4 linked regions of the Tamandua tetradactyla genome follow. The protein of the gene in region 3 purifies or fractionates together with the protein of the main gene of each other region. This does not show direct contact. Links are inferred from orthologs where the notes say so. Each region holds a gene or a part of one and is shown on either strand. Other genes may lie near its edges. The genes, in order: XRCC1, PARP2, RNF146 and LIG3.

Region 1 (7,375 bases), on a different chromosome or scaffold from region 3:
AATACTGGCAACCACCAGAGGCCATCAGATTTTCCGGAGGGTCTCGGATGTGGACCAAGTTAACAAGCGCTGAAATGCTGGAGGCCCTGCTTCTGCCACTGCCTGCAACAGTGTGTTCTCAACATGGGAACCAGACGGAGCTTGGGTAAATTTAAGTCAGATTCTGTCCCTCCTCTGCTGAGAACCCTCCAGTGGCTCCCATCTTAGCATAAAAGCCAAAGTCCTTGCAGTGGTTTTCCAGGCAGCCCACAAGTGTCTCTTCCCGGGGAGGCCTTCTCTGACCCTCTATTTAAATGAAAACTCTCAGCACTCACCATGGTCCCGTCCCCTGCTGAGGGACTCCCTATTCCTCTCAAACTACTTAATTTCCCTCCACTGCATTCATCATCTGACTTAAGTTTAATTACTGGTTTGTTCATCAATCTTTCCCTACAAACATGGAAGTCCCACAAGAACTGAGATGGTTTTTGTCCTGTGCTGTTCACTGCTATATAAACCCAGCACCTAAAGCAGTGCTTGGCCTAGACAGTGCTGAATAAATATCTGTTGCATAGATGAATGAACAAACAAACAAATGAATCCATTCATTCCTAAGTCTGCCCCTGTACCAACAAGCCCCTTCCGTCTCTGGCTCCACATCTAATCCCTCCTTGTCTCCTGGATGCCGCTCCATGGATATCCCAAAGTCACATCAAACCTGGATGTCCCATCTAAACATATCACCTTCCCAAACTGCCCCCTCTCTGGGTTTCCCATTTCAGTGACAGCTGCACCTTTCCCCTCAGTCTTTCAGGTCACAGAATCCTATGCCTCATCCTAGCTCCTCCTGCTCCCTCACCTTCCACGTACTCTTTCCTGCCTGTCTATCTGCTCTCACTACAACAGGCACAAAGGACTGCACGTGACTTCCCTGGTATCACCCGATCAGAAGAGAGCCCAGCAGCTTTACGTAAACACCTGCATGTTGACAGAGCACTTCTGCAGACATTATGTCACCGAACTGTCACAACAACCCTAGGCTTAGATCTTATTATTCCTAATGGACAGATGATAAAACAGGTTCAGAGAAATAAAACAATTTGCCTAAGGTCACAGAGTGAGCAAGAGAGAAACTTGAATTCAGGTCCCAAGACTAAACTGTAAGCAACCTGTACCTCTTTCAGTTTAAAACATTTGACTCTTGGGCAAGTTGCATAACTTCACTCAGCTTGAGTTTCCTCATCTGTAAAATGTGAACAATAGATCCTAGGTCATGAGGTTTTTATGAGGAGTCAATGAGTTAATTCCTGTGAGGTGCTTAGAACAGTGACTGCCAGGTTGTAACACTCAATAAACGTTAGCTCTCATTTTTACTATGCAAAGGATTCAGGAGATATTTAAATTCCCCAACTCATTTCGAATATTTTGTAAGTCTGTGTTATTTTCTGGGAAGAGAATCCTCAGCTTCTATCAAATTCTCAAAAAAACCTCTGTGACCCCAAAATTTTTTAGAATCAGCAAGCAAGACAGAGAAAGAGAATACGATCAGAATCAAATGCAATCATGCAAGTCCTGCCTGACCTCCCCCATCGCTCCCCCAAATACCCCAACATTCAGAACTAAGGAATGTGGCCCAAATCAAGAAAGCTAGAGAATACAAGGCAGTTGGCAAAGTGGTAAATAACACCAGTACTCAGGTGTGAGTTCAAGTCCTGCCTCTGTCATTTATTGCTAGTGACAACTTTTGTGATGACTGAATCCATATAAAACACCTAGCCAGCAGTAAATGCTTAATATGTATTTAGCTCTCTTCTCCCATAATTTTCTTATCCCTGACAGGAACAGCCTGTTTGGAATTGTGTAACCATTTCAAGTCAGGCCACCCTTTCCTCCCTCAGGTTTGCCTCCCTCTAACCTCACAGGATTGTGGCCTGGATTGAGAGTATGAGCAAAAAGTACTCAGAAAAAACCTGGCCAGCATTTCAGTTCACTTCCCCCCACCCCCATATTTCAGTTTTCCTATCTTGAAAATGGTCGTTGATTGGCTTAGATGCGCTCAGGGACATCTTCCATCCCTGAGCCCACTGATTCACTTTGTTCGGGTTGAGGAAACCGAGACCCAGAAAGCAGGAGCAATCTATTGGGGCTACACACTGATTCCTATGGTTGTCCCTGGCCTAGTCCTGGGGATCCTTCTCTCCCCTCCTGAGGGGTACCAGTACCATGCTGCCCATTTTCCTGGTAAGAAAGCTGAGGCCCAGAAGAGAAAGTGACTCAGCCCTTGAGCCAACTGGCAGTGGGCTGAGTCACTTTCTCTTCTGGGCCTGGACCCTGGGTCTCCAGACTCCTAGTGGGGGGGGAAGGGCAGGGTCACCTGGAGGACCACAGAGATGGTCTTCTCGCCTGCCTTGGCAGCCCGCCATTTTCGGTAAGTGTCCGCCTTGAGGAGGTTTTCTGCACAGTGAGTCTGGGGGCAAGAGTGGAAAATGGAAGAGTTAGGACACGGAACCGAGGGCCAGACCCTCTCAAGACCTTTGCTAGTTGTCAGATAAGCTCCCCATTAATCCCCCACTCCTGCCTTGAATTCCCCCTGCAACCTTTTGCCCTGGAAGTTCACCTAATTGCTCTCCAAGGAACGCCCCTATTCCATTTTTTCTCTCCGGAAGTTCCAGAGATGTCCGGAAATTCCCCTATTCCTCAAGTCTCCGAGGATTCACTTACAGCATCCTGGAAATTTCCACTTGGCCCTTCTTAGATTTCCCTCAAGTTCCCTTTTAAACCCAGAAAGTTCTTGTGGAGCCCCCCTCCCCCTAGCAATTCCCACCTCCCCCACGCTGGCCCTCACCGAGTCCTGGCTGCTGCAGGACACCACATGGCGGAGGCGGATCTCCGGCATGCCAACGTCTTGGACTTCGCGGGGCCTGAAGGCTGAAGGAGGGTCGGGGTTTGGGTGCGGGGAGGGGTTGCTCCTCCGCGCTGACTTCAATGCGCACGCGCGCCGGGCTCGGGCCTTTCAAACTGCGGCGCGCCGGCACGCGCGTCAACAGCGCGCTTGCCCAGTCGCGCCACTCCAGTAGGCGGTGCTGAGTTTCCTAGCAACGAACTTTTCTCTAGTCCCGCCTCTCTCCGGCCACTCCACCCTCTAGTCCCGCCTCTTGGTGACGTATGCACTTTCTGGGCGCCCAGCAACAGGAGCAGCCTCCAAGATTGGTCCCTAGTAGAAATTCGCCATTCTCATTGGGCGATGCAGTCACCACGCATACTGAAGCCTAGAAAGCCAGACAGCAAAACCCGACTTAGAGTGTCATCTGGAGTCTTGGCTTCCGCGGCTGCATCCCACCGTCTCCCCGCCCCTATAAAAGCCTAAGAGCTCTTTCAGGTTATGCCTGAGACCACAAGAGAGTAGGTCACAGATCTAAAACACAAAGCATGCACTCACCCAGCCTACAGTGTTTCCACCCTTGCCTCAGTTTCCCAATATGTGGCCTGTGGGCATCAGTCTCCTACCGCGCCTGGCCCTGGCCGCTGACAAGCATCCCTCTGTTCAGTTCCCGTGTGCAAGCATGCAGCCGTGGGCTGAGTCGGAGCCGGCGATAGTCCAAATACAGAAGCAGGTGAAGGAGAAGGGAAGGGAGACAAGGCTCCCGGGCCCCCGCAGAACGAGCCTGGACACGCTGATGCTCCCGCTGGCGCTCCCAGGTGGGGCCCCACCCATGCTGGGTGCCTCCTTGGAAAGAGAACAAAGGAAGAGGGAATCCCAGACCTTGAAACCGGTGCAACCCCCCCCCCAACCCCCACCCCGGGGAATCAAATACTCCATTCCGACCTTGGGCGTCCAGCAAAGAAAATGGACTGTGGGAATGTGAGAGGAAACAGGGCAGTGACCTTCTGGGTCCTGATGGAAGAAAGAGCTGGAAGTCTAGGCCACTAGGGACCTGTGGAGAAGGGGCTGGACACCAGATGCCCAGGTCCCTTTTGGACTTGGTTCCGCCTCCCGCACCCCAGGGCTGGTGAGGCCTGCCCTGCGCTCTGACCTCAGCTCCTTCTTGCCTCAGGGTGAAGGTTGGCCGGGCCGCCCTTCCTTAGCGTCTTATAAGGGCTGGGGACCCAGGACTGCCTGGTGACACACCATGAGGCCATCGGAGAGTCCCAGGACCTTCCTGCTGGCCTTGGCGCTGCTCTGCACTCTTCTGGGCCTTGGTGAGTTGCTGGGGGCCTGGATTCAGGACACCCCCAGGAAAGAGGGGACTGTGGAAGAGCATTCAACAGGGTCTTTAAGGAGGAAAGGGGAAGTATCTTGAGAGCTCGGATTAATGGAGGAGGCTAAAGGAAGAGAAAGCCTGGAAACCCCAAGGGAAGAAAAGCTCACATGATTGAATCCCTGAGAGGAAGGGGCTTGGTGGGCCCTGATTCTCCTGTACCCCAGGCAGATCCCAAAATAAGACATGAGAATTCTAGGAAGTTAGATAAGAGCAGGACTAGAAAGAGGAATCTAATTTTAAAAACAGAAAAGACCAAGAGACTCCCTTTCTCCCAGGCCACCAGCTCCACTTTCTCCAGGAGACACCTGGGCTTCCCTCTCTCAGGCTAAGGGGTCCATGTGCCCACCCTTCCAGAGGTCATTCTCCCTCCTTAGCCTAGGATGTAGACCCCAGCCTCAGGTACTGCTACCTGAGTTCCTGTTGACTACAAGACCTCCAGTTGTACCTGCAAGGGGGAGGGTCTCAAACTGCAGAATCACCTGTTCCTGAAGCTTCACAAAAGTCCCTGGAAGCCTTCGCCACGCCCCTCCAGCCCCCAAGCGTTCTCAGAGGACCCTAGCATCCAAAGCCCCCAGCCTTGTAATTAGGTATCTAGGTTCTGTGGTGGAGTCGTTTCCTGCCCCTGGAAGCAGCTTGCAGGCATCACCACTGCGTCCCTGTCAGGGCTCTGCATAGTTCTCTGGACAGTTCCTTGGACCAATGCTCCGCCCATGAAAAACCTGGGAGATGGCAGGACCCTCCTTCGTAAGGACCAACAAATTGTGCCCTCTGCCCTCGTCTCCCTCAGGGCCCCGAAGTGGAAGTCGTGGTTCTCAGACCTCGGCTACAGTCCCGCCCTCTCCCCTGCAGGGTGCCCACTAAGCTGTGAGGTGTGTAAGGGCCCCGGGCCCACGTGCAGTGGAAAACTGAAGACATGCGAGGCAGGCAAGGATGCCTGCGTGGTCATCGTGGGGGAGTCCAGCACAAGTAAGAGGGTGGGCGTTGGACCAAAGGTGCCATCAGGGTAGAAACAAGATACCATGTGCTGGGGGGTGGGGGCGGGGGAGATGGTCATCACTGTCGTGGAATGAGTGGCGCAGGAAGAAAATGTGCAGGAAGAGGGCAAGAATATCTCGAGGTGGAGGCAGAAGAATTCAGTGGGGCATCAGAATCCATTGTGGTCAGGGATTTCTAAAAATGAGACTCTCCAATAAGGGAGGAAGAAGTCTATGGGGGAAAGAATGCAGGGTAAATAAAGAGACTATTGTAGATGGGAGGAGGTGAAGGAAGAACATAGGGAGACAGAGAAATGATGAGAAGGGAAGAATCTAATAAGCTAGCGAAAGAAGAGGGGAGAGCCCTGGGGGTGAGGGGCAGTCAAAGGGTCAGAGAAGAGACGATTCTAGAGGAGATGAAGGAATCAACCCAAATCCCCTGGAATCACCCCAGGGATGGTGAGGGTGGCATGGGCTGGAAGAGAACATTCCCGGCAAGAGGAGGAGAGACGGTGTTGGGATTAGGGGAAAGTGAAAAGGACCACCACGATCGGAAGGGGGAAGATAACCACGAATTATCGAACAAATCATTATAGAGAGAAGTAGAGATGGGGCAAGTGCGTAGGCTGGTGAGTAAAATGTAAGGGACAGGAGGTGTGTGACTCAAGTGGAGACCATCCTAGACCTGAGAAGCCATGGGTGGTTGAGATTGCAGGGGAAGAGACCACTGGGGACCTTCCTCACAGGAGTGATAATGGGGCAAAGTGTGGGAGGGAAGACTGTGATGGCAGGTGAGGGGTAACTGAATGCAGGAAGAAACCAGCCCCACTGGAGGGAGAGAGGGAGAAAGGTGGGACTGAAGACTGCGCCCATCCCATCCACCCAGCAAGTGTTGGGGCCTGGGGGACGGATCTGAAAGGCTTGAAGAGACCACCCCAGACAGATATAGGAAAAGAGGTTCTGGGAGGCTAGGAGGAAAAAAACCCTATGGGCTGGCGCCTAGAGGGAAAACCTTTGGATTGGGTTGGAAAAGACCACCATGGGTCGGAGAAGGGGTAGGCTGTGGAGACTGGCAGAGACCACCCTAGACAGAGAGGGGGATAGGTGTTGGGGGAGTGGGGCAGCAGCCCAAGGTTTGTTGGGCAGAACCACCCCAGGGTGTGGGGGGAGGATGAAAGTCTTGGAGGATGGAAGAGACCACACCACAGGGACAGGGGAGTGGCCATACTGGCCTGGCAAAGACAGCAAGGTGCTGGAGGAGAGGATGGCCTTGGGGTGGGTGGGAAGGGACCATGTCAGGCAGGCAGCAGGGATGTTTGCAGTAGAGGACTGCAAGAGACCACCAAAGGAAGACTGGGGCAGGGAATGTAATGAGTAGAGAGAGCTACCTAATAAACCACTCCAAACTGAACCCTAGGCAGACAAGGGGAGATGATTTGGGGAGACTAGAAGAGACCACTCCAGGCAGAGAGGGAGGTATGGATTGAGGAAGCTGGAAGAGACTATCCCAGGCAGTCGCAGGGCAGGGAGATGTTGGGTTACGGGAGACTCGAGGCTAGGGTGGGGTCAGCTAGCGTCGCTGAGCCGGCCCCACCCCGCAGAGGGCCAGCAGTCGGTGAACACCTACAAGTCCTGCATGAAGTCCAGGGACTGCTATTCGGGGTTCGTGTCCACCACCATGGGCCCCAAGGATTACATGGTGTCCAACGCCCGCTGCTGCCAGAGCGACGGCTGCAACCGCGACACCGTGCCCCGTAAGTGCCCGCCCAGCGCGGCGCCGCGAGCAGTTTCCAGCCCCGCCCCAAGAGTCCGCGGTTTCTGGCCCAACCTGCTGCTGTTCGGCTCCGCGGCGTCGGGAAAGCACTTGGCTGGCTCAGAGCTTCCGTGTCCACACCTGTACAATGGGTTGTACAATGTCCCTTAGCATCCGGGGTTGTCTGAGTTCAGGAGAAGGGCTTAAACGGTCACCCCACTCTCACGCCCCCAGCTCCCCAGAACAATCGCACTGAGAACGGGCTCCACTGCCCCGCCTGCATCGCGCCGTTTCAGGAGACCTGCCCCGGGACCCAGGCAGCCCGCTGTGTTGGCCAGGAGACCCACTGCATCTACTTTGCTGGCAACGTGCAGGCCGGTGAGGGGACAGGGGCAGGGGAGCTGGAG
Region 2 (6,903 bases), on a different chromosome or scaffold from region 3:
TATATATATTGGGTAGATGGAAATACTAGTGGTCAATGAGAGGCAGGGTAAGGGGTATGGTATGTATGACTGTTTTCTCTTTTCTTTTTATTTCTTTTTCTGGAGTGATGCAAATGTTCTAAAAAATGATCATGGTGATGAATATACAACTATGTAATGATATTTGTGAGCCATTGATTGTACACCATATATGAAATGTTTGTATGCTAAAAATGCATGTGCCTGTACATTGTCTTATCAATAAAAATTTTTTAAATCCCATCAAATGTCTAAAACCCCTTCATGGCATTCTGCATTCCAAATTTTAATACTCATAACAACCTGTTACAATAGTCTCGTTAGCTGCTAATATTAAAATTTTGTGCACAGTAAAAATCATTTTGAGAGTTATTTAAAAGTAGATTCCTGAGATACACTTCCTGAGATTCTAATTTAGTGGGCTGGTTTCAGCCCTATTATTTTAATAGGTACCTTCAGATGCTTCTGATGGGTTTAACTGAGGTCCACCTTTGGAAAACAAAGACTAGTTCAGGATGTTATCACTGCTAAAATGAGTAGACTCCTGGAAAAGGTAGCACTTTTCAAACTTTTCATTTATAATACATTCAGAATGAAGAATATGAGAAGAGCATTTGTTAGTAAATAAAAGTTAAGCATACTATTTGCACTAGAAAGTCCACATCTGTACTTATGCCCAAAGAGGCAATGATGACCCTTGGTTGTAATAGCAAAAATAATAATAATAATAAAATAAAAATTACTATGCTTATCCAAAGGTGAATCAGCAAATCATAATATAACTTTTTCATCAAATACTACCCAGCAGTTACGGAGAATGAGGCAGATTTGCACAATCTACCATGGAATGATCTCCAAAGCACTTAAGTGAAAAAAGTTAAGTTGCAGAATAACACATGCAATGTGCTCACATTTTTTATAGCACCCTTCACAGAAAGGCAAAATAATGTATTTTTAAATGTGCAGACATATGTCTATGGATGAAAAAAAAAATGGTTTGGAAAGAAACACACTAAGCTATTAATAGTTGTTACACCTAGGAAAAAGATAGTGGTTGGGGTGGGTCTTCTTCTTTTTAAGAATCTGAACAAAGAGAATGCATTGATTTTTAAACAATTAGATAGTACCCCACCACAACCAAAATAAAGATAGTGTACAGGAGTACTTTTTGATAAAGGAGTGGGAAGAGAAAAAGAAGAAACCCCTAACCCCCTAAGGCAGAAGAAGACAGCCTCCAAAGTCTAAAAGAATATGGCACTGGATGACTAACCCCTAAATTAGCCTAGGGCTCTAGAGATTGGACCGTCCATGTGTTCACCAACCTTACCCCCAGTTACTACTTTTCCTCTTTGCTTAAGCCTTAGGCCTCGCCATTTTTTAGTATCTCTTGAGGATCCTCTTCCCTACAAGGTTGTTGCAAAGGGATCCTCCACATCTCCTTTCCTAGTTATTCCATATTTCTGAAGACATGAACTCAAATTCCTTTAAAGGTGTTTCTGATTCATGATTTTACTAATCACTTCTGGGAAATAAACAATACAATTTATATCAAAATAAGATAATATCAGAAAGCTGTGGGCTTTGCTGCACTTAATGCAAGAATGAAGACGATTCTGCATAATCACATTTTTAAAAATTCCTGGTGTAATCACTCAGAACCTTGATTTGTAGATCAAGGCAGATCTCAAACCCATGTCATGGTCATATGTGGCAGTGCACAGCGACAGATGTATTCCATGTTGAATGAACGCTAGCAGACACTGGGTTCCCATTGGGTCGCATTCTCAGATAGTCACTGCCCCTTGGCAACAGCTATTCACCTGGGTAGCCAATGAAAATCTTCCTCTTAAGGTGCTGCACAACGATAATCTTAGACATGTTCTGTGTAAATTGTTATCCTTTTCATAATACTTTCCAACTGCATGGAATAAATGCCTTAAACTCTCTGAGCCTGAATTTTCTTTCTCCTCTGTATCATGGGGATAGTTAACATCTTCCTTCCTAACAAATATACAAAAGAGTCTATTCAAATGACTAGTTCATAGAATGTGCTCAATTCATGGTCAACTTCCTTATTCATTCTCCACTCACATTCATAGAGGAAGTAAAAAAAGTAATTACCTGATGTAATTATACTCATCGCATAATAAGCATTCAGTAACTGTTATCAGTACTAAAATTAAACGAGGTATTGTATTTACTTATATAAAGAAAGCTCAATTAAATATTAGCTACTTTTAATAATAATTTCCATTTTGATACATTTTCCTACTCCCAAACTAATGCCTTTTAGACCTACTCTAAACTTTTATTTGTGCCATAATTAAGTCAAATACAAAAGGCTCTAATTTAGGACTGAAACAGATCAACCAGTACAATACACTGTGACATTTGCTAAGTGCTATTTTATTACATTCATTCCCAAATATTTTATACAGTTTAATACTATAAACGGTTTACTTTCTAAAAATTTTATTTTCTTGCTGTCTAAGTCTCTTTTATAAAGAGACCAATTATTCTACGTATTATTAGGTACATTATATATGTATACAACCTTCCATTCCTACTAATTTAAAAATTAATTCTGTAGTTTCTTCTGGAATTTTTATATTCATAACGAAATGACATGAAAATAATGAGATTTTTGTTTTCTTTTTTCAAAAGTTTATTGTATCTTTTGAACAAAATTTCTCAATTTTAATAAAATCGAATTTATCTTATGGCAATAACTTTTGTGTTTTAAGTAAACCTTTCCCGACTCCAGGGTATTAAAGAGTTAATTCTATTTTCTGCGCAGGGTTTCCGAGTTTTATTTTAGGTCGTTCGTCCTTGATCCATCGTAGTTCACAGGCGCAGAGAGCCATAGCAGGGCAAAGCAAAACCCGTTGGACTGCGGAAGCTCAAGTCTTGGCTGCCTCTCCAGCGTCCCCCTACACCACTCCCACTCCCCGTTGCTCTGTGTTCTGGCCACCCTGCCTTCCTGCTTCACGGGCTGATTCTTCTGATGCACTCAATTTACCTTAGTGCAGAGCTCCCAATCTCCCTGACTCGTGTTCCCCCAATACAACACTCCCTAGCACTGCCTGCTTCTCCTTAGTAGCGCTTTACTGCCACATTTTTACATTTGCTTGTGTGATTACTTGATTAACGTGTTCCCAACTAGACTATAAGCTCCAAGACTTATGTCTATTTGGGCTAAACTACTGTAACAAATAAGTAACTGTTGAATTAATGAATATCCTAATTTTGAACTATCCTTCCATACTTGGGATAAAATCTACTTGTCTGTGTGGCTTTTTTATTACGCTGCTGGAATTTATTTGCTAATATTTAATTTAAAAGTCATTTATTAATGTATTTAAATTGAACCCTCATTTTCCCTTACCGGGGACTATTATAGCCTAACAATATACAAGTGTTGTCTGAGAATCACCAGTATCAGTTAGTTGGTTTGCTGGTCAAAAATGCGGAGCTCTGGGAACGTCTCCCCTACCTCAGAGGGTCTGGGGCGGGGCGCGGTAATGGGCTTTATAGTATGCAGCCCTGGGACTCTGACGCATTCAAATACTAGAAACCCCCTGACCTGAAGGACCTCTCTTATGGTCTCTGGATTTAATACAGCCTTACATACTGGCACCCCGATGACCACGTTTCTCTCCCCGTGGGGCGTTCTCTCGTTCATGCATGCCAGATTAATGCGAACTTGCCGCCCTGGGCCCCTCCTTGTTCCAAGAGGTGCTATGCAGTTTCGGGCCTCAGCACTCCGTCTCCCCTAGACAAAGCTTCCATCACCTTCGTAATCACTCAGTATTTATCTGGCAGCTGTTATAGACAGAGATATTTTTTTCTAGAAAGCAAAAAGAAATAAAAAAGGACGGGGGAGAGTAGTCTGAATTGGGTTATGAGGCCCCACTACGGGGTACCTCACCTCAGCCATTGAACTCTCTGGAGTGCTGGCCGTGAGTCTGTTCCAAGCTCCGCCTGAGGAGGCATCCGCCGGGCCCTACCGGGGGGGGCGGGTCCACGGCATCTCCTGCCCAGTCTGCCCTCGCGCGGAGCCCCATTCTCTGGGAACTCACCTCCCCGTATACAGGGAGAGCCCTGTTAGGGCCGCTGCTGGCCCTTGTCTCAGACCTTCCCAAGGGACGTTGCGTAGAGTGACGTGACGCACTCCGCTCGTAGCCCCACCGATGAGCTTCCCTCCGCCCTGTAGAGAGAAGAGGGTGTTTGCCGGATTTATAAGATTCCCACTGCTAAAGACATTTCACAGTTATGGTGACTTCCCACAACACTTGGCGATATGCAAATATCACGGAGTTGGCCCTGAGGCGCGGCGAGACGCACGCGCGCTGAGAGTTCCCGCCTGCTCACCCTGGGTCCAAGGTTCCTGAAGGCGGGTTGAAGACTGCAGTGTTTGGGTGCCATGGCGGCTCGGCGCAGGAGGACCGTCCGCGGACGCGCGCCAGGTTCGGAGCTCAGTGTGAGGGTATTGAATACGGGGAAATCGGAATAGGAAAAGGAACTGTGCCCCTTGCTCTCGGCCCTTCGCTTTCCAACACTCCCTGCCCCGAACTTCGTAGTCTACCAAACTAGTTTTGTTACTAAACTATAGTTTGGCTTTTACAGAGCCTTTTAGATTGTGGAATTGTGGATAAGAGCTTGTCGGCCTGTGTCACGTAACGCTTGCTGTGTGTGCCACGCACTAAGTACCTGTCATCGAATTTATAAAACATCCATTGTGAGATACACCATTCTTTTATATATCGTTAAGAAAATAACTTCCGATTAGCCGTGATTCACTGCTAATATATCACCTATTGTAAGATGCATGTCAGTTTCAGAGATGTTAAAATTGTATGAGCCTTGAAATTGATGAGGTACAGTACTCTGTATCATGTTCTGTAATGCATAAGCTCACCCTATAAATTATATATGATTATCATCCTTCGAGGTGGAAAATCAAATACCTTGTCCAGGTTTCCACAGCTAGAGGAGGAAGAGTTGGGCCAGGCAGAGGCTCCAAAACTACTCTCACTGCCTCAGGTAGATTGAGGATAGGTATTTAGAGAACCCAAGGGCGTAAGTAAGCAGAAGAATAAATCCTGAGTGATCATGTGGTGAAAAATAAATCATGAGCGATACAGACAGTGTAACATTGGGATTGCGTCAAGGAGATGGGTCCAGAGCCACAGAGGAAAAAAATTGTTTCTGTAATTAAAGCCATGGAATGGTGAACTCGCCAGAGTCTTCGGGCTTCCTTTTATTTCATTTCATTTTGTTTTATTTAGTTTCTTATGGAGTTTTTACTCAGATTGTAATTAGTGTGGCGATTGTTGTGTCTTTGGTAACTTTTACAAAACTATCTTAAACCATTCTTTAAAAGATGATATTTTTTCCAAGTGGAATCTGAATCAGTGTGTCCTCATTCTTTTGCTTCTTTCTGTGCCCATTCTTCATATCCTAAGCCTCTGTAGGGTTAACTGAAACCGAGAAAATCAGTAATGGGAACATAGCTGCAGAAGATTCTCCTCCTGCTAAGAAAACTCGCAGTTGCCAGAGGCAGGGGTTGAAAAAGGAGCCTGTGGCTGGAGGAAAAACTGTTGATGGTGACAAGATAGAAGGCAAGCAAGGTCAGCTTCACATGTGGGCCAGGGAGGGCACAGGCCAGCAAAGGGTCTGGGGGAGGTGGGAATATATGTTGTTCTTTCAACTCTTATTTCTTCTTTCCTTAAAAATATTATTAATTTCTCCATCCTCTGTGTATAACCCAGGACTAATCTACTTTGTCAGAACTTCGTTTTTATGTGTTTGAGATGGATTGAAACCTAGGCAGAAGTTCAGGATTGCTTGGGAAGGGCCGAATTAATTATGACAGTGTTTCATCTAACCATGACAGCTACTTTTGATTCCCGTACAAGTAGATATGATATTATTTTTTTCCTCAGAATCTATGAAGACCTTGCTTTTAAAAGGCAAAGCTCCCGTGGACCCAGAGTGCACAGTCAAGGTGGGGAAGGTAAGAGACACTGCAGCCCATCCTTAATCCATTGATACCTCAGAGAGCAGTGTTCTTCTGTTATTGAGATTCTTGCCTGGGTCATCGCTAGTATTGTTTTTAGAAATCTTCTTCAAAATATGGCTAGTGACTGATTTTCTCCAAATCTGGGGGCTGAGAGTGGTGAAGTTTTGGGTTAATGATTGAGATATTTATAACATGGTTAATTTCTGGGGTAAACCATCAGCCTTTGGTCCCTCATTCACTTTCTCAGTCAGAAAACTGTATCATTATTAAGGAAGAATCTTCCTCTTTGTTCAAATGGGAGAATGTGCTTTAGAATGTCTTGAGTTACTGATGGTTGGGAAGCGGATTTGAAGAATACAGAAGAAAAGCTGCCTCTTCAGCTGACTTTCTTGAACTGAAAATCCTTTGTTTCTGTAATGAGAAAAAAAGCAGCATGTTATATAATAGTGATGGGCGGTGTATAGGAGAATACATGTTTGCATTTCTTTCCCCAGAAGATAGAATAGGTAGATGGTAACGGTGCTGAAGAAGGCCACTGTGATGGTTGAAGCATAAGAAAATTCAGAGCCTGACTTATGATCTGATCAGGGCCGAGACGATACTAATGTCAGTTTTTCCCCTCTCTAGGCCCATGTATACTGTGAAGGGAATGATGTTTATGATGTCATGCTTAATCAGGTAAGGGGAGAAACCATTCTATTTTTGGAAGTTATCTTATTATTATTGATAGAGTTCCGAATGCCCAGATCTTTAATTTTGAAGTTCTTTATATTAGTCATACTTTCCTAGTACACTCTGCCTGATAGTGAATTCCTCTATGAAAAGCAAATCTTTTTGCAAATTTCGTGTCTTTTCTAGAACCT
Region 3 (7,397 bases):
CCAGCAACTCCTGTCACTGCACAATGGGCTCATGAACAAAGTGGTCATGGTGGTAGGGATGGAGGTTATGCATGGGCTCAGCAACTTGGACTTCCACTTACCAAAGCTGACTTGGCTACAGCTCCTGCTAGTGTCCAATCTGCCAGAGCAGAGACCCACACTCATCCTCCGATATGGCACCATTCCCTGAGGTGACCAGCCAACTATATGGTGGCAGGTTGAATACATTGGACCACTCCCTTCATGGAAGGGGCAGCGATTTGTTCTAACTGGAATAGACACATACTCTGGATATGGGTTTGCTTTCCCTGCATGCAATGCTTCTGTCAAAACTACCATCTATGGGCTTACAGAATGCCTTATCTATCATCACGGTATTCCACATAGCATTGTTTCTGATCAAGGAACACACTTCACAGCAAATGAAGTGTGGGAATGGGCACATGTTCATAGAATTCTCTGGTCTTACCATGTTCTCCATCATCCAGAAGCAGCTGAATTGACAGAATGGTGGAATGGCCTTTTGAAATCTCAATTACAGTGCCAACTAGGTGGCAATACCTTGAAGGGCTGGGGTAATGATCTCCAGGAAGCTGTATATGCTCTGAATCAGCATCCCCTGTATGGTGCTGTTTCTCCCATAGCCAGGATCCATGGGTCCAGGAACCAAGGGGTGGAAATGGGTGTGGTACCACTCACTGTTATCCTTAATGATCCACTAGGTAAATTTTTGCTTCCTGCCCCTGTGACCCTGAACTCTGTTGGTCTATAGGTTTTAGTTGCAAAATGGGATGTGTTTCCACCAGAAGAAACAACAATGATTACATTGAATTGGAATCTAAGACTGTCACCTAGTCACTTTGGGCTACTCATGCCCTTGGTTCAACAAGCCAAGAAGGGGATTACATTATTGACTGGGGTGATTGACCCTGACTATCAGGGGGAAATAGGACTGCAACTACATAGTGGAGGTAAAGAAGAGTCTTCTTGGAATATAGGAGATCCCCTAGGGCGTCTTTTAGTACTACCATGCCCTGTAATTAAAATCAATGGAAAACTGCAACAACCCAATCCAGGCAGGACTACCAAGGGGTCTGAAACTTCAGGAATGAAGGTTTGGGTCACCCCACCAGGCAAAGAACTACGGCCAGCTGAAGTGCTTGCTGAGGGTAAAGGGAACATGGAATGGGTAGTTGAAGAAGGTAGTGATAAATATGAAGTACAATCACATGATCAGTTACAGAAACAAGGACTGTAATGCTGTTTTGTTCATGTTGTAAGATATCAAGTTTAAGAATAAATATTACCCAAGGACTTGCACCTTATTCTGGAGAGATTTAATGTATTTCCAGTTATATGTAGGACAGTTGAATATTGTTAGGTGAAAGAAAAAACATGTGTTTTATTGTTTTTTTTTATTTAGAAATTAGGTATGCTTTAAGGTGATACATATAGCTGCCAAGTTGACAAGGGGTGGACTGTCATGGTCAGGTTCATGTGTCAATCTGGCCAAGTTGTGGTACCTGTTTGTCTGGTTGGACAAGTGTTGGCTTTTCTGTTGTGATGAGGACATTTCATAGAATTAAATCATGATCACGTACCTGTATCCACAGCTGATTCCATTTGTAATCAGCCAAGGGGAGTGTCTTCTGCAATGAGTGATACTTAATCTAATCACTGGAAGCCTTTTAAGGATGATTCAGAGGAGACAGGCTTTCTTTCTGCTTTAGCCAGTGAGCTTCTCCTGTGTTCATCCAGACCCTCCATTGGAATCATCAGCTTCACAGCCTGCCCCTGTGGAGAACTCTGCATTCCCACAGTTACATGAGACATTTTTATAAATTTTATATTTGCAAGTGTTTCCTGTTGATTCTGTTTCTCTGGAGAACCCTAACTAATACACACCTCTAGCAATATTGGGAGCTTCTGTCATGGATTATCCAGAAATAGAAACTAATCACTATCTTCCATTTAGGTGACTGATTGGATAGGGTGTATATTGTTCGATAGATTTAATTATTCTTTTTATATGTGGTTGGTGACAAATGCCAAGAAGTTCACTTTTTATTTATATATTATTCAATATATAAATACGTATATGTGCATATATACACATACATACATGCAGATGTGCATGTGCATTCATTCAATGCGTATTTACAGAGGGCCTCTCCTAAACGTGTCAGACACTGTTCGCAGCTGTTGGAATACAAAATAGAACACAAATTTCTGCTCTCTGAGATTTACATTCCAGAGTGGAGAGACACACACTAAAGATGAATAAGTAAAATAACTTATTCATTACATGGTGAGAGGTATTAGAGAGAAAAAGTAAGAAGGGGAAATGGAAAATGGGAAATATTGGAAATGGGGAATATTGCGATTTAAAATAGGGTGGCAGTGGGGTGCACGGGTGGTTCAGTGGTAGAATGCTGGCCTTTCACGTGGGAGACCTGGGTTTGATTCCTGAACCATGCACCTAAAAAAAAAAAAAAGAAGAAGAAGAAGAAAATAGGGTGGCAGTGGAGGACTGGCTGTAAAGGTGACATTTGAGCAATCTATTTTGGGCAAGAGTTTTCTTAGCAGAGGAAATAGCAACTGGAAGGACTTTTGAGGTTGGGAGCTTGTGCAGCCATCTAAGAAGTGAAGTGAACACTCTGCAAGGTCATGGGCGTGATATGATCTGACTGTCTTTCAAATACCTTTACTTTGGGTTCTTTCTTGAAGATAGATTCAAAGGAGAGCAAAGAGCAGGAAGACCAGTTCCTGGGCTTTGCAATAATGCAAACAACAGCTGATGTCATTGTAGGAGAGGCTGTAAGTGGTCGGGTATGTATGTGCTCTGAAGGAAAGGCCAACAGATTATAACTGAATGTGGAACATAAGAGAACGAAAGGAAGTAAAGACGTGTTTGGATAAGAAAGGACAGAGCCATTCACTGAGGTGGCAAAGACTGTGAGTGTCGGTATGAATGAGATGGGCAGAAGCCAGAGGGACCCAGAAACACCTGTGTTCTGATCCCATCTCTTTCTCTCACAAAATACATGAGCAAGTCATTTAACCTGTTTTATCTGTTCCTCCAGTTGGTATAATGAAAAGTTGGACCAGGTGAACTCTTTTAGTCCCTGTCTAGATTCAAGCCCCAGTCTACGACTTTTGACTGTTTTCCTCCGTGCCTGTATCCGAAACGTTGGAATAACAGTAGCACCTATCTTGTGGCTTATGGTGACATTAAGCGAGTTTATATGTGTAAAGCACTGAGAACACTGGTTGGTACATTGTAAATAAAGGTGAATATTGTCTCTTTAAGCTTCAATTTATGAATATATATGAAATGTTTTGCTATTATCTGTTCATGGGCTGTGTAAGATAGAGGGGTAAAACCTGATGGCTGAGGAAAGGATAAGGATACGGAATAAAGCTTCAAGTTGAAGGACATATATACACTTCAATATTCCTAAAATTATAGTTTAGAAGAAAAACAGTTTTGCTTATGAGAGCAAACATCATTAAACAAGATAGATGAACCCTTTAAGATACTGGTTACATAGTAATGCCATGAGCAAGGACCCGGAAATACATGGACTTCAGAGAAACAAAAGAAAACGTACACACTTCTACATTGGCAAGGACACCGAGCTCTCCCAAGCCAGAATAAAAGAGCTAATGACATCCCCAACGTCGTATCACTGCAAGTAAGGAGGCTGCCATGGAATGTAGAAATATATACTCTTTTATGGATTAAAACGCGTTCCCTCCCACCCTCTTCATTTTACTATAAATTTAAAAATTTATTCAGTTCCGAAAAAGGCACTGCATATGCTAAAACGAAATGGAGACTACTGCCAGAACGATGATATTTAAAACCACAGCGCGCAACCCAAACGCTGCCTCTCCTCTAACTTCAGATTCTTAAGCTGATAAATCCTTCCTCCAGCTGCCTATGCCCTTTTCTATTGCGCATAATGGGTCCCAACAGAAGGGAAGGTCCTTTTTTTCCCTCTCGATTAAACTGTTGAGCGCTTCGTAGGGTGAATAAACCGTAGCGTCCGAGAAACCCGGTTTTTACTGGAAAGAGAACGCGCAGGGCTTTCCCCGAGGGCTCTCGACCACGAAACCCAAGGCCTCTGGGCCCTGAACGGCTTTCCGAGCAGCTGGACCTGCAGGCCCTCCCGTCTCATTTCCTCCACTCTGACTCTCCCTCCAGTGCCAGCACGTCTCTTCCGAACCTCCGGCACCCAAAGACTAGTAAAAGGCAATGGAAAGCGGTGAGAAGTCCGCAGACAGCAAAAGTGCGGGTCCCCAGAAAAGGCAGGGACGGGGCGCTGGCGGCGCGGCGCCGCTTCCGCCCGTGCGCGGCCCCACCCCCAGCGCGGCCCCGCCCCGCTCCCGCGGCGCGCCGGGCGGTCACGTGACGTCCGCGCGCGTTCCCGGCCGCTGCGGGTTCCGAGGCCGAGGAGAAAAGACTGCGAAGTGATCGCGGCCGTGGCGGGAGAGGTGGGAGTCGGGGCGAAGCCCTGGTGGGGGGCAGGGTGGGAACAGCCCACTCCGGGTGCCTCGTGCGGGGAGAGCCGGCCGGCCCGCGCCGTGCCCTCAGCCGTGCCGCGCCGCCGCGGCCCTGCGTTCGCGGCCCGAGAGGGGTGGCGGCGGGTCGGGCCGGGGCGTACACGGACGTCCTTGGCCGGCGCGGCGCGGAGGCGGCGCGGGACAGCTCCACGCTCGCCGCGCCCCCGCGCAGGCTGCTGTCGCAGGCCTGGATACTGTGGCGGGCTCTCCGTGGCCCGCGGCGGCCGGGAACCGGCCTCGGCGGGGTGCGCGAGGTGGAGCCGCGGCCATTGCTGCGCGGCCTGTCCCGCCGGGCCCGCGTCCTGGCCGTGGGGGTCTGCGGGCCCTTCTCGCCCTCGGCGGTGGCGTCGGGCCTCCAGCGGGGCCTCCTGGCCCGAGGTTGAGGGGCGGCGGTGGTTTCGGGGTACCCGGCTCCTGGTTTCCCATGCAGTCATGCCTTTTGGACCTCGGGTCAGGCGAGGCCCGCCGCGCTGCCTCTGCCTCGGATGGATTTGGTCGTTTTCCGGGTGTCTGGCTGTCTCCTCCTCCCTCTCCTCCTTCTCGATCCCTGGGTCTTGTCCGCGAGGGCGACAGCCATCCGTCCGCCATGGCCTCGTCACCCCCGGCGCTGCGTGTTCCTCGGTTTGACGGTTGTGGAAGCGTCGGGACACTGGCCGGGTCGCCGGGCCGCTGGGTCCCGGCTGCGGGGTGCGGACTCCCTCCTCGGCCCGGTCCCCGCCGACGGCACGGGTCTCCGTGCTGGTCCTGTTGGGTTTTCTGGCCGCAAAGGGCTTTTGAGAGTGTGGAGACGAGCAGCCCTGCCCGCACGGCCGCGGGACTGAGTTGACCCACGTCTGGCCCGCTGCGGTTCCCCTCCCGGTTAGCCGTTCTCGTATTGGGTGCCAGTTCTCTTCCCGAAGTGTCGTTTTAGCGAGTGCTTCTAACTCAAGTTTTCAAAGTACGTGTATTTGAAGTGATATTTTTGTCGTGTTGGAATACTGAACTGAAGGGAGAAGAAAGCTGAGAAATGCTAGGAAATGCTTTTTTTTTTTTATATTTGTAAGTGATGTTTCAAGTGTTTGGCACCCCCCACTCCCCCGTGTGTGGGTACTGTTTAAATGGGATGTGAAAGTATAACATTGGCATTGAAAGCAGTACAGAATTACAGAATTAGAAGACTTAAGGCTGTTTTTTTATTTTTTAATAAATCAATCTATATTTAGATTTAAACGTAGCGTATAGAACCAGTGAAGAAGAAGACCCTCGTGGCACAAGATTGTTGATGTTTTTAGGAACCGCAAAAATTGAGTAAATACAAATACTCTGAACACACGAAAATAGGTCAAGGAAATCTGATTTTGGAGAGAACCGGAAGAGTGACTGCCACACTAAAAATAGAGGTTGGTTGTCTTTCTTCGGACATTGTATATCTTAAATTGGAGCATTTTGTCAGGCATCAGAATTGGACTTAGAATTTATGTCTCAAATGGGCCAGTGTAAGTTGTGGGCAAATGGAAAATTTTGAAGTTTTTTTGTTATTTTATGGTTATTAAGAGTTTGATAGGATTATGGTCGCCAGGGAAACTGTTTCTCCAAATAACTGGTCATTGGACAAGAGGAAGAAAAGGAATGACATTTTCTCTTTTGGGGGATATGTCAACTGCTAAATCTTTTTGTTTCAGTTTCGACCAACTTAAATTGTCAGAAGACACTTTTTTTTTTTTAAAGCATCAAGAAAATGATTTCTTGACTTAGTAGAAATAAAGGATAGAATTAAATCTTTTCTTTGTTTCATAACACTACACTCATCTGTTTTAGAAACATTTACGTACTGGCCATACACTACATGAAACTCCTGATGTACCGTTAGTTGGGACAATGTTTTACTGTGGCGAACCTTTTCGTTTTCCTGTTTGGTTTTTGTTTGTGACTAAGAAACTTGAATTTGTGAAATGATGGTTTGGATTAGGAACAATCTTTGGGTATGGAACCATCTTATTAACTGACACTGGGGTTACAATCACCCGTGCTTGTTTATGGACTGTATTTAGTGTTCATGGCTCAGTGCCTTTTGGGTTAATTAAAACCAAACCTTTTGTTAAATGTCTGTTAATTAGTGTTACAGAATTAATAGAGTGTAGAAACTTAGGCTTTGGGAGTTAAGACTTGACCAAGGTCGCACGAATAGGACAGAGCCTAGCCTTTCTTATTTACCAAATGGTGCCAGCTGTAAAAACACTGCTGTGTTTGATATGATTTTAAAATATTTATTTATTCCTATTTACTGCTAATGTTTTATTAAAATTAAAGGGCTGCAGTTTTTTTTTTTAAGGGAAATTTAGGGAAGATTGTTAAAGGTTGTGGATTATCATACAGTAATTTTTTTGAGAAGTGGTAAGTGCTAAAATAGTTCTCTAAAGGGGGCCCATATAACTGAAATGAGTTTTGACTGAGAGGTCTGTTTCCAAGTATGGCCTCTGCTTTCAGTTTTTAAGAGAACATAATAGGGAAAGGTAAAAATGGAAACATTAGGGTATTTAGTTACGTCTATCAATTTGGAACTCCTCAAGAAACTTAAGATGCATCTGCTAAATAACATCTGATTTCTCTACTTCTTTTTCTGGTCTTTTTGCAATTATTACTGTTTTTATTTTGAGTTAGTATACCCAAGATTGGAAGGTTTGAAGTATTTTTCCTATCTCTCGTTTAAAACTTTTAAATAGAACATTCCCTGTTTTGTGTATTTTGAATAAATAAAGGGTAAAAACTATACTAGTAAAATTAGCTGTTAGCAATTGGAGAAATTAAGGAACCCTTCAAATACTAAAAAAATTCTATATTTTAACTGTTAA
Region 4 (7,276 bases), on a different chromosome or scaffold from region 3:
AGCCCCAGAAGCCTTTGTCTTTGCCCTGGATCAGCTACTCCCAAAGGCACCCTTGACTCCTCTCGACTCTTCCTTATTCTTTCCTACCTCAAATGACAGCTGCAGCACAAAGACATTCAAAGGAGAAGCCAGGAAATCCCTCCAGTTAAGAACCATCTTCCACAGCCTTTATTATCCCTCCAGTTAAGAACCATCTTCCACAGCCTTTATTTAGAAGAAGACTCACTAGCTGATTTGAATTATTATATCTTCCTGCAACTGTTCCTTTTTAAACATTTATCCTGGCAAACACTATCACTGTTTTTTACAGCTTATTTTAATTGTGCGACTATTAAGCAAACCAAACCGTAAAATCAACTCTCACTGCTGAGATTTATGTGGTTCATAGACCAGAGCTTATCAAAAAAGGAATCCACGGAGAAGGTGTGAGGCCGCTTTCCTATCTCTGCCTGTGGCTTCCAAGCTTTTCATAGAGGGTCGCACAGAATCTACCCAATTCCCTCAGACTTTTTTTTCCTTCTTAACAATCCTGATGAATCTAAATGAATAGTCTTTGTTTTTTTAAAATATTGATATTTTTATTGATAAATCTTAACATATAAACAGTCCATACGTGGTGTACAATAAATGGCTCACAATATCATCACTTAGTTGTGCATTCATCACCATGATCATTTTTCAGAACATTTGCATCACTCCAGAAAAATAAATAAAAAGAAAAAAAAAACTCATACATACCATACCCCTTACCCCTCCCTTTATTGACCACCAGCATTTCCATCTACCCAATTTATCTTAACCTTTATTATTTGTTCATTTTCCACCCATATTTTTTACTCATCTATCCACACCCTAGATAAAAGAGCATCCGACACAGGTTTTCACAATCATACAGAGATTGTAAAAGCCATATCATCATACAATCATCTTCAAGAACCAAGGCTACTGAACACAGCTCAACAGTTTCAGGTACTTCGCTCTAGCCACTCTAATACACCATAATCCAAACTGATTCAGTCTAAAAGGGGATGGTGGAACTCTAAGAGAAGCTCACAAACAGGATAAATGTCCTGAAAAATTTACGATAAAGGTCTAAGGCAAGGACTTAATTATGAGATTGGGTGAAATAGATATCTTGATTATTTGACAATATAGTTCTTAGTTAGGACTATGGAACAGCTATCAGACTCCAATAAAAGCTCTCCCTCCAAAAATGCATGTTCACACAAACATTCACATAAAATTTTAAGGGGTTCAAAGGTACCCAATTCCATCCAGGCATCACTTGGGGTCCATAAGCCTCAGATTATTTCTTACTACTTCCACTGTTTACCCTCCCCACTCCCCCAAGCTACTCTTGTTTCTGTCCTAGTTTATTTCAGTAGCCACCCAGCTCATCTCCCAACTTCTCTACATAGTAGCAAGAGTGATCCTGTTAAAATACATCAGAATCATGTCATTTCTCTACTCAGTAAAGTCCATGGGGTTGCATTTCACCTGGAGTAAGAGCCAAAGTTTCTACAATGGCTTACAAGGATCTGTCTCCTTGCTTCCTTGCTAGCCTCACCTTCTACTCTTCTCACCCTTAACTCATTCTGCTGTAGCCACACAGATCTCCTTCCCGTTGCGTACATGCCAGGCACATTCTGGCTGCTGAGCTTTTACTGATACTCCCCTTCCCTGAGTTCTCCATGAGGCTCTCTCCTTCATTCCTTCACTTTGTCATGAGGTCTTCCTGACCTGTATTAAAGACTGCAACCCACCACCTTGCCCAGCACATCTGATCCTCCTCATCTGCTCTTTCTCCACTGCACTCATCCTTTTACATACTATGCATTTTACTTATTACTGTATTATTAATATTTATTTCCCACATCAGCCTGATAACTCCATAAGAGGAGGGCTTTTTGTCTGTTCTGTTTTACAGCTGTATTCCAGCTCCTGAAATAGTGCGTGACAGAGTAGGAACTCAAATACTTTACTGACTGATTGATGACTAACTAAGTGGTAAAACTTTGCAGTGGTATGAAGGTGTCTAGGCTGGGGAATGGAGGAGCATGCACATTTACCACAAAACTTCTAAGTGTGAAGCAGTTTGCAAGTTATACCAGCCATTTCACTTAATCATCACCCACAATCCTACTTCACCAGGAAAACTCAGTCCCCAAGAAGTTAAGAATAGAACCTGAGGTTATACATCTAGTGGCAGAACACAATTCAAACTTGGGTTTACGTGATTCCAAAGCACTGCTTTTCCCACCATCACAAATTACCTCATTCTCCTTAGGAGCAGTTCCTACTTCCCTAAGGAAGTGCAACTGTCGGCTCTCACACATGGTTCCATTTCACAGAGAGGGATCTGAGTCACAGAGACATTAGGGGTCCCTTGGGGTTCTAATTAAGCACAATAAATATTGAGAGCCTGAGACCTTTTGCAAATGTACATAAAACACATTTACTTTGTCAGAAAACTATATTATGAACATCCTTCCAAGGGACATCACTTTCTAAGTTTCATTCATTCATTCCATTCACTCATGGTTTTCCTTGATTTATTTATAAATATGTGCTGAGTGCCTATTATGTGCCAGGCACTGTTCTAGGCACTGGGGATAAAAAGATGTATAAGATACAGAGGTCACGTTCCACAAATAGGCTTGAAGTTTAGGACAGTGCTTTATCCAAAAGAAATATAATGCGAGCCACATATGTAATTTAATATTTACTAGTAGCCACATTTTTAGAAGTAAAAATAGGCAAAATGTATTTTAATAATATATTTTATTTAATCCAGTATATCCAAAATATTATAATTTCAACACGTAATTGAAATACATATATTATTGAGTTTTTAACATTCTTTTTTTTGTACCAAGTCTTCAAAATCAGTGTGTATTTTATACTCACAGCACATCTCAACTTGGATTAGCCACATTTTAAGTGCTACAGCATTGGACAGCACAGGGCCAGAAGAAAGGACAGATACATTTGAGGAGATTTTTAAAACAATGTTCTAATTGCAGTGATAATGTACCTTCAGGATCATTCAACTACCAGTACTAGTACTTTAGCCTTCATTGACCCATCAACCCCAAAGACCTAGATCATTTTGCTATACCAAAGTAGAGAAAAGAGAAAGGGGCTTTACTCTATTGCAAACAGTGGAATCGTGGTTGACCTCAATCAACGAAACTTAATATATCTAAAACAAAACATCCTTACCCCAAATACCTTTACCTCCCCTATTTTCTATTTCAGTTGATGGCACCATTATCTACTTGCTCACTTAAGTCATGCTCATTTCCTCTTTAGACAAATGAACATTTTATCCAGGAGGTAATTTTTTAACCTCTTATTTTGAAATAATTTCAAACTTACAGTACAGATTATAGAAGACTGTTTAGAATATAAATGTTTCTCAAAAACACACCTTCCTCTCCATCACAGCTACCTGAGCTAATTCAGGCCACTTAGCACCCTTGCCTTACCCTCTCTCCTACCCAACTTTGACAGTAATTCCTATTCTGTAAAACTCTTCAGGGCTCTCCATCACTTACAGAATAAAGGCCAAGCTCTTTATGACACAGCAAATAATTTCTTCCAGGATCTGACCTTTGCTTACTGAACAATTGGCCCAACTGTCCCCTGACCTTGAACGAGTTCACGTACCTTCTCTAAACCTGCTACCCCTTTGTAAAAATAGCCATCCTAATCTTTCATAAAGATCACTGGAAGTTCAAAGAGATAATATTTAAAACAATCTACAATGTAGGAGATTATTTCCCCACCATGCCTTTACACAGTTTCCTATCTATCATTATCGTCTATCCATCTATCGTATCCACATTGCGCCTTTTGCAGTTCAATAACATTTACTGAATACTTACTATATGCTAGGCATTGTGCAAGATAACGAGAAGGCGGAACACCGAGAGATCGGCTGAATAACGCGACCTTTGCCTTCCCCAAGCTCATTACAATGTAATTTCTCAACTAATACGCTTTAACTCAATTGGACTATATGATCTCTAACAGCACGAAAAAATCAGGGGGATCCTCAGAAGTTCCAGCCAGGCCGCACTTTGGGACACCACCACGTCCCCTTATCTCTGCTTCCCCAGGCGGCGATCGCAGTTCCGAACGCCCCAAAACCCAGACAACCAAAGACCAGGGCCACGTGGCACAAACTGCCCACGACCCACGTGGTAGGCCGGGGGCGGGGACCCGCGCCAGCGCCGAGACCTGCGGCGCAGCTTGGGCCTTCGCTTATGCGCTTGCGCACTGTCACCAGCTCAAGGACCCGGATTTAAAGAGACAGGAGCTACAACCGTCGTGGGCTGCCCACGGCCTCTGGGCGCCTGGACCCAAGGCCTACAGTGTGCGCTGGAGCCGGAAAGGCAGGTGAGGGCGGCGCGGCGGGGCTGGCAGTGTGGGGAGGAAGCCGGTGGGGACCCGAACCTCGGCGCGGTCCGGGAGCCAGCCCCCTCGGCTCCTCCCCCTCCCGCCTGCGGAGCCCGGGGGCACACCCTCCATGACGTGGCGGCCCCCGGGAGTCCACCCGGGAGGTGCCTGGTACCTTGAGGCACCCCCAAGATACCCGCGCGAGGAATAGTGCCTGCTCACATCCCCGGGCGTGCGGCCCTTCGGGGCCCCTCCAGGGACTTCTTCTGTGTCCCTGCCCCTGCATATTCCCCGCAACGAAGTTGCTGCGCTTCCCTAGGAATTTGGGAGCCTTTCTCGTTCCCAGCGTTCGCTGGCCGGGTGGAAGCGTGCTCCCTTCCCCAGCCCCGCTGGCTGTGCCCGCGGGTCCCCTCGGCCTCCAGCGTGCTGATCCCGAGGGACTCGGAGGGTCTAGCCTTAACGCCGCCCGACCCCGCTTCCCCGCCTCCTCCCTTCCTTGAGGCCGGCTCGCGGCGCCCGGGTCGGTAGTCCCTACCCACTCCGCGAAAGCGTGGCGGGAGGCCCCTTCAGCAAGGCAGCTGCAGGGGTTTCGCTTTCCACCCCGCTGCAGCTCACTGGCCCGTGGCCGTCTGCGCTTCTTTGAGACCTCAGCGATTTCCTGCTCGGGCTCCTTCCAAGGAGTTTATGCGTCGCGGTGGGCCAGAGCCTCAGGAGCCTCCTCTGAGGCTGAGACTAGGGCGCTGCGAGATGCTCTGGAGTCTGTTTCTTTAATTATTTACAGGGGCGTAGGGGTAGGCGTGACATAATTAGGTCTGTCTTCTAAGAAAGATTTCAGGTTCTGAGCTTCTCTTATGGGCCTGCCGTACTTTCCTATACATCATCTCTGTAGTTCTTAAACTTTTGAAGATTGTAGAACCCTTTGTGAATCTCATGAGAAAGTTATGAACCTTCTCTCCAAAAATACATTTACAAGTATGTACATTTTCAAGGAGATTAAACCATGTTACCGCCCCCCTCCCAGGCCATCCATGGGCTTATTTTAATTTTCACAACCACCCTGTGAGGCAGGTATTATTTTCCCTGTTTTAGAAATAAGAACGCAGACTCAGAGAAGTTAAAAAGTTTCTCAAAGTTAAAATAACATATATGCTGTATGATCAGACTTTAAGCTGCCAAGACTCCCTAATTTTTGAAAGACCCTATGCATTCCTCTGTACCATGTTGCAGTACCGTAGGTAAAGGCCTGTTTTTGTATAATACAATGGCAATTTCACTACAAAGCGGTGTGCAAACTTGAAAATGACTTCTAGTATTTTAAATATTAGAACTTTAATTCTTGCCTCCTGTGCGGGAGACCTGGGTTCAGTTCCTGGCCGGTGCACTTCCCAAACCAGGAAACCAACAAACACAAACAAATAAAAAATTCAACAAAATAGTGCTGCAATAGCGGGATACTCACATGGAAAAATAATGAAATGTGGTAACCCCACCATACAACATCCAAAAAAAAAGATACTTTGGAAGATATAAACAATATAAGAAGATAAGGAGATACCATTTGGATATAATCCTTGTTTCCATTTGGATTGATTTATCAGTTTCTTTGACTCTTGTCATCCAGTTACTTCAGAATTCTCTGACTCAAATTGCTGAATTATAGACAGGCATATAATTGTACATAGGGTACCACTGTTTAAAGTAACTTCTTCATTGAAGATAAGAGCTAACATTATTGAGCCCCTGATAATGTGTCCAACTCTTTTCTAAGGGCTTACCCCTTAGAACAGCAATGCTTTGAATAAGTACTATTGTCGACATTTTACAAATGAGGAAACTGAGGAATGGAGAGATTAAGAAACTACCAAGTTCACACAGCCGGTAAGTGGCTGAGCTAAGGTTTGAACCCAGGCAGTCTGATTCCAGGCTCCACTTAGTTGCCTCTCAAAATAGGGTTTTGGATTAAATCACAAATCCATGTAATGGTTTGTTTTCTAGAGGATGACGTGTTATATCTCACATTGAATACTTTATGGACATATGTAATTTTTCTTAATGATTAAAAAGAAACTTCACGACCTTATAATACTTAAATGTCATCATTCATTATGAGTCTCAGGGATTGCTGAGAAAACAGGATAAGCTTTGTATTATTTGGGTTCTCTTAGTTGTGATTACTGGATATACGTGTGTATATTAATCAAACACCTTTTGCAAACTGGATTTTCCATTTACTGGAACTCTTCTTCATCCTGTAGGAAATAAACTTTTAATACTTTTGATTAGTCAGCCTGGGCCATATAGACCTTTGGCTTTTGAGCAAATTGGAAGTTTATCTCCTCATTTATATCTCATTTACTCTGCTTCTCACCCTTTCATGCAGCTGTATGACTTTAGCTTTCAGGATCCTCTTTCCACCAACCTTCCGTGCATTCAGCCGAAAAGAACCGTGCCTGTTCCGAGAGCGACATCGTTGGCCTGACATCAGACAGTTTAACCAGTGGCTAGAAACAGATCTGCTTCATGGGCGCTGCCCTCTGACAAAAAAGCCTGTTCTGTCATTCCAGCAAGGCAATCAAAAACCACGAACCACTTGCCTTGTTTTCTTGCCAGGGTTGCATGTGGGACTCTGCAGTGGCCCCAGTGAGATGGCTGAGCAACGATTCTGTGTTGATTATGCCAAGCGTGGCACAGCTGGCTGCAAAAAATGTAAAGAAAAGATCGTGAAGGGTGTATGCCGAATTGGCAAAGTGGTGCCCAATCCCTTCTCAGAGTCCGGCGGTGATATGAAAGAGTGGTACCACATTAAATGCATGTTTGAGAAACTTGAACGGGCCCGGGCCACCACAAAAAAAATCGAGGATCTCACAGAGCTGGA

The links.
Region 1: the proteins of RNF146 (region 3) and XRCC1 purify together in Homo sapiens (co-immunoprecipitation; 3 studies listed by BioGRID and IntAct, with this or other methods). This does not show direct contact. The link is inferred for Tamandua tetradactyla from reciprocal best matches to the Homo sapiens genes RNF146 and XRCC1.
Region 2: the proteins of RNF146 (region 3) and PARP2 purify together in Homo sapiens (affinity purification with mass spectrometry; 4 studies listed by BioGRID and IntAct, counting the BioPlex papers as one, with this or other methods). This does not show direct contact. The link is inferred for Tamandua tetradactyla from reciprocal best matches to the Homo sapiens genes RNF146 and PARP2.
Region 4: the proteins of RNF146 (region 3) and LIG3 purify together in Homo sapiens (co-immunoprecipitation; 3 studies listed by BioGRID and IntAct, counting the BioPlex papers as one, with this or other methods). This does not show direct contact. The link is inferred for Tamandua tetradactyla from reciprocal best matches to the Homo sapiens genes RNF146 and LIG3.

Annotation. Positions count from the first base shown.
Region 1 is NC_135342.1:21,214,645-21,222,019, reverse strand, and holds the start of XRCC1 (DNA repair protein XRCC1), read right to left. Parts: upstream 3,015-7,375; 5' UTR 2,876-3,014; coding exon 2,825-2,875; intron 2,447-2,824; coding exon 2,354-2,446; intron 1-2,353. Other genes in the region: PINLYP (phospholipase A2 inhibitor and Ly6/PLAUR domain-containing protein), read left to right, coding at 4,110-4,179, 5,091-5,207, 6,817-6,969, 7,203-7,346. UniProt on the Homo sapiens protein: Scaffold protein involved in DNA single-strand break repair by mediating the assembly of DNA break repair protein complexes. Negatively regulates ADP-ribosyltransferase activity of PARP1 during base-excision repair in order to prevent excessive PARP1 activity.
Region 2 is NC_135340.1:36,325,349-36,332,251, reverse strand, and holds the start of PARP2 (poly [ADP-ribose] polymerase 2), read left to right. Parts: upstream 1-3,896; 5' UTR 3,897-4,441; coding exon 4,442-4,484; intron 4,485-5,483; coding exon 5,484-5,648; intron 5,649-5,963; coding exon 5,964-6,034; intron 6,035-6,667; coding exon 6,668-6,718; intron 6,719-6,903. UniProt on the Homo sapiens protein: Poly-ADP-ribosyltransferase that mediates poly-ADP-ribosylation of proteins and plays a key role in DNA repair.
Region 3 is NC_135331.1:188,536,869-188,544,265, forward strand, and holds the start of RNF146 (E3 ubiquitin-protein ligase RNF146), read left to right. Parts: upstream 1-4,389; 5' UTR 4,390-4,497; intron 4,498-5,853; exon of another isoform or gene 5,854-5,945; intron 5,946-7,397. UniProt on the Homo sapiens protein: E3 ubiquitin-protein ligase that specifically binds poly-ADP-ribosylated (PARsylated) proteins and mediates their ubiquitination and subsequent degradation. May regulate many important biological processes, such as cell survival and DNA damage response.
Region 4 is NC_135332.1:46,372,411-46,379,686, reverse strand, and holds the start of LIG3 (DNA ligase 3), read left to right. Parts: upstream 1-4,258; 5' UTR 4,259-4,397; exon of another isoform or gene 4,398-4,401; intron 4,402-6,781; 5' UTR 6,782-6,785; coding exon 6,786-7,276. UniProt on the Homo sapiens protein: Isoform 3 functions as a heterodimer with DNA-repair protein XRCC1 in the nucleus and can correct defective DNA strand-break repair and sister chromatid exchange following treatment with ionizing radiation and alkylating agents.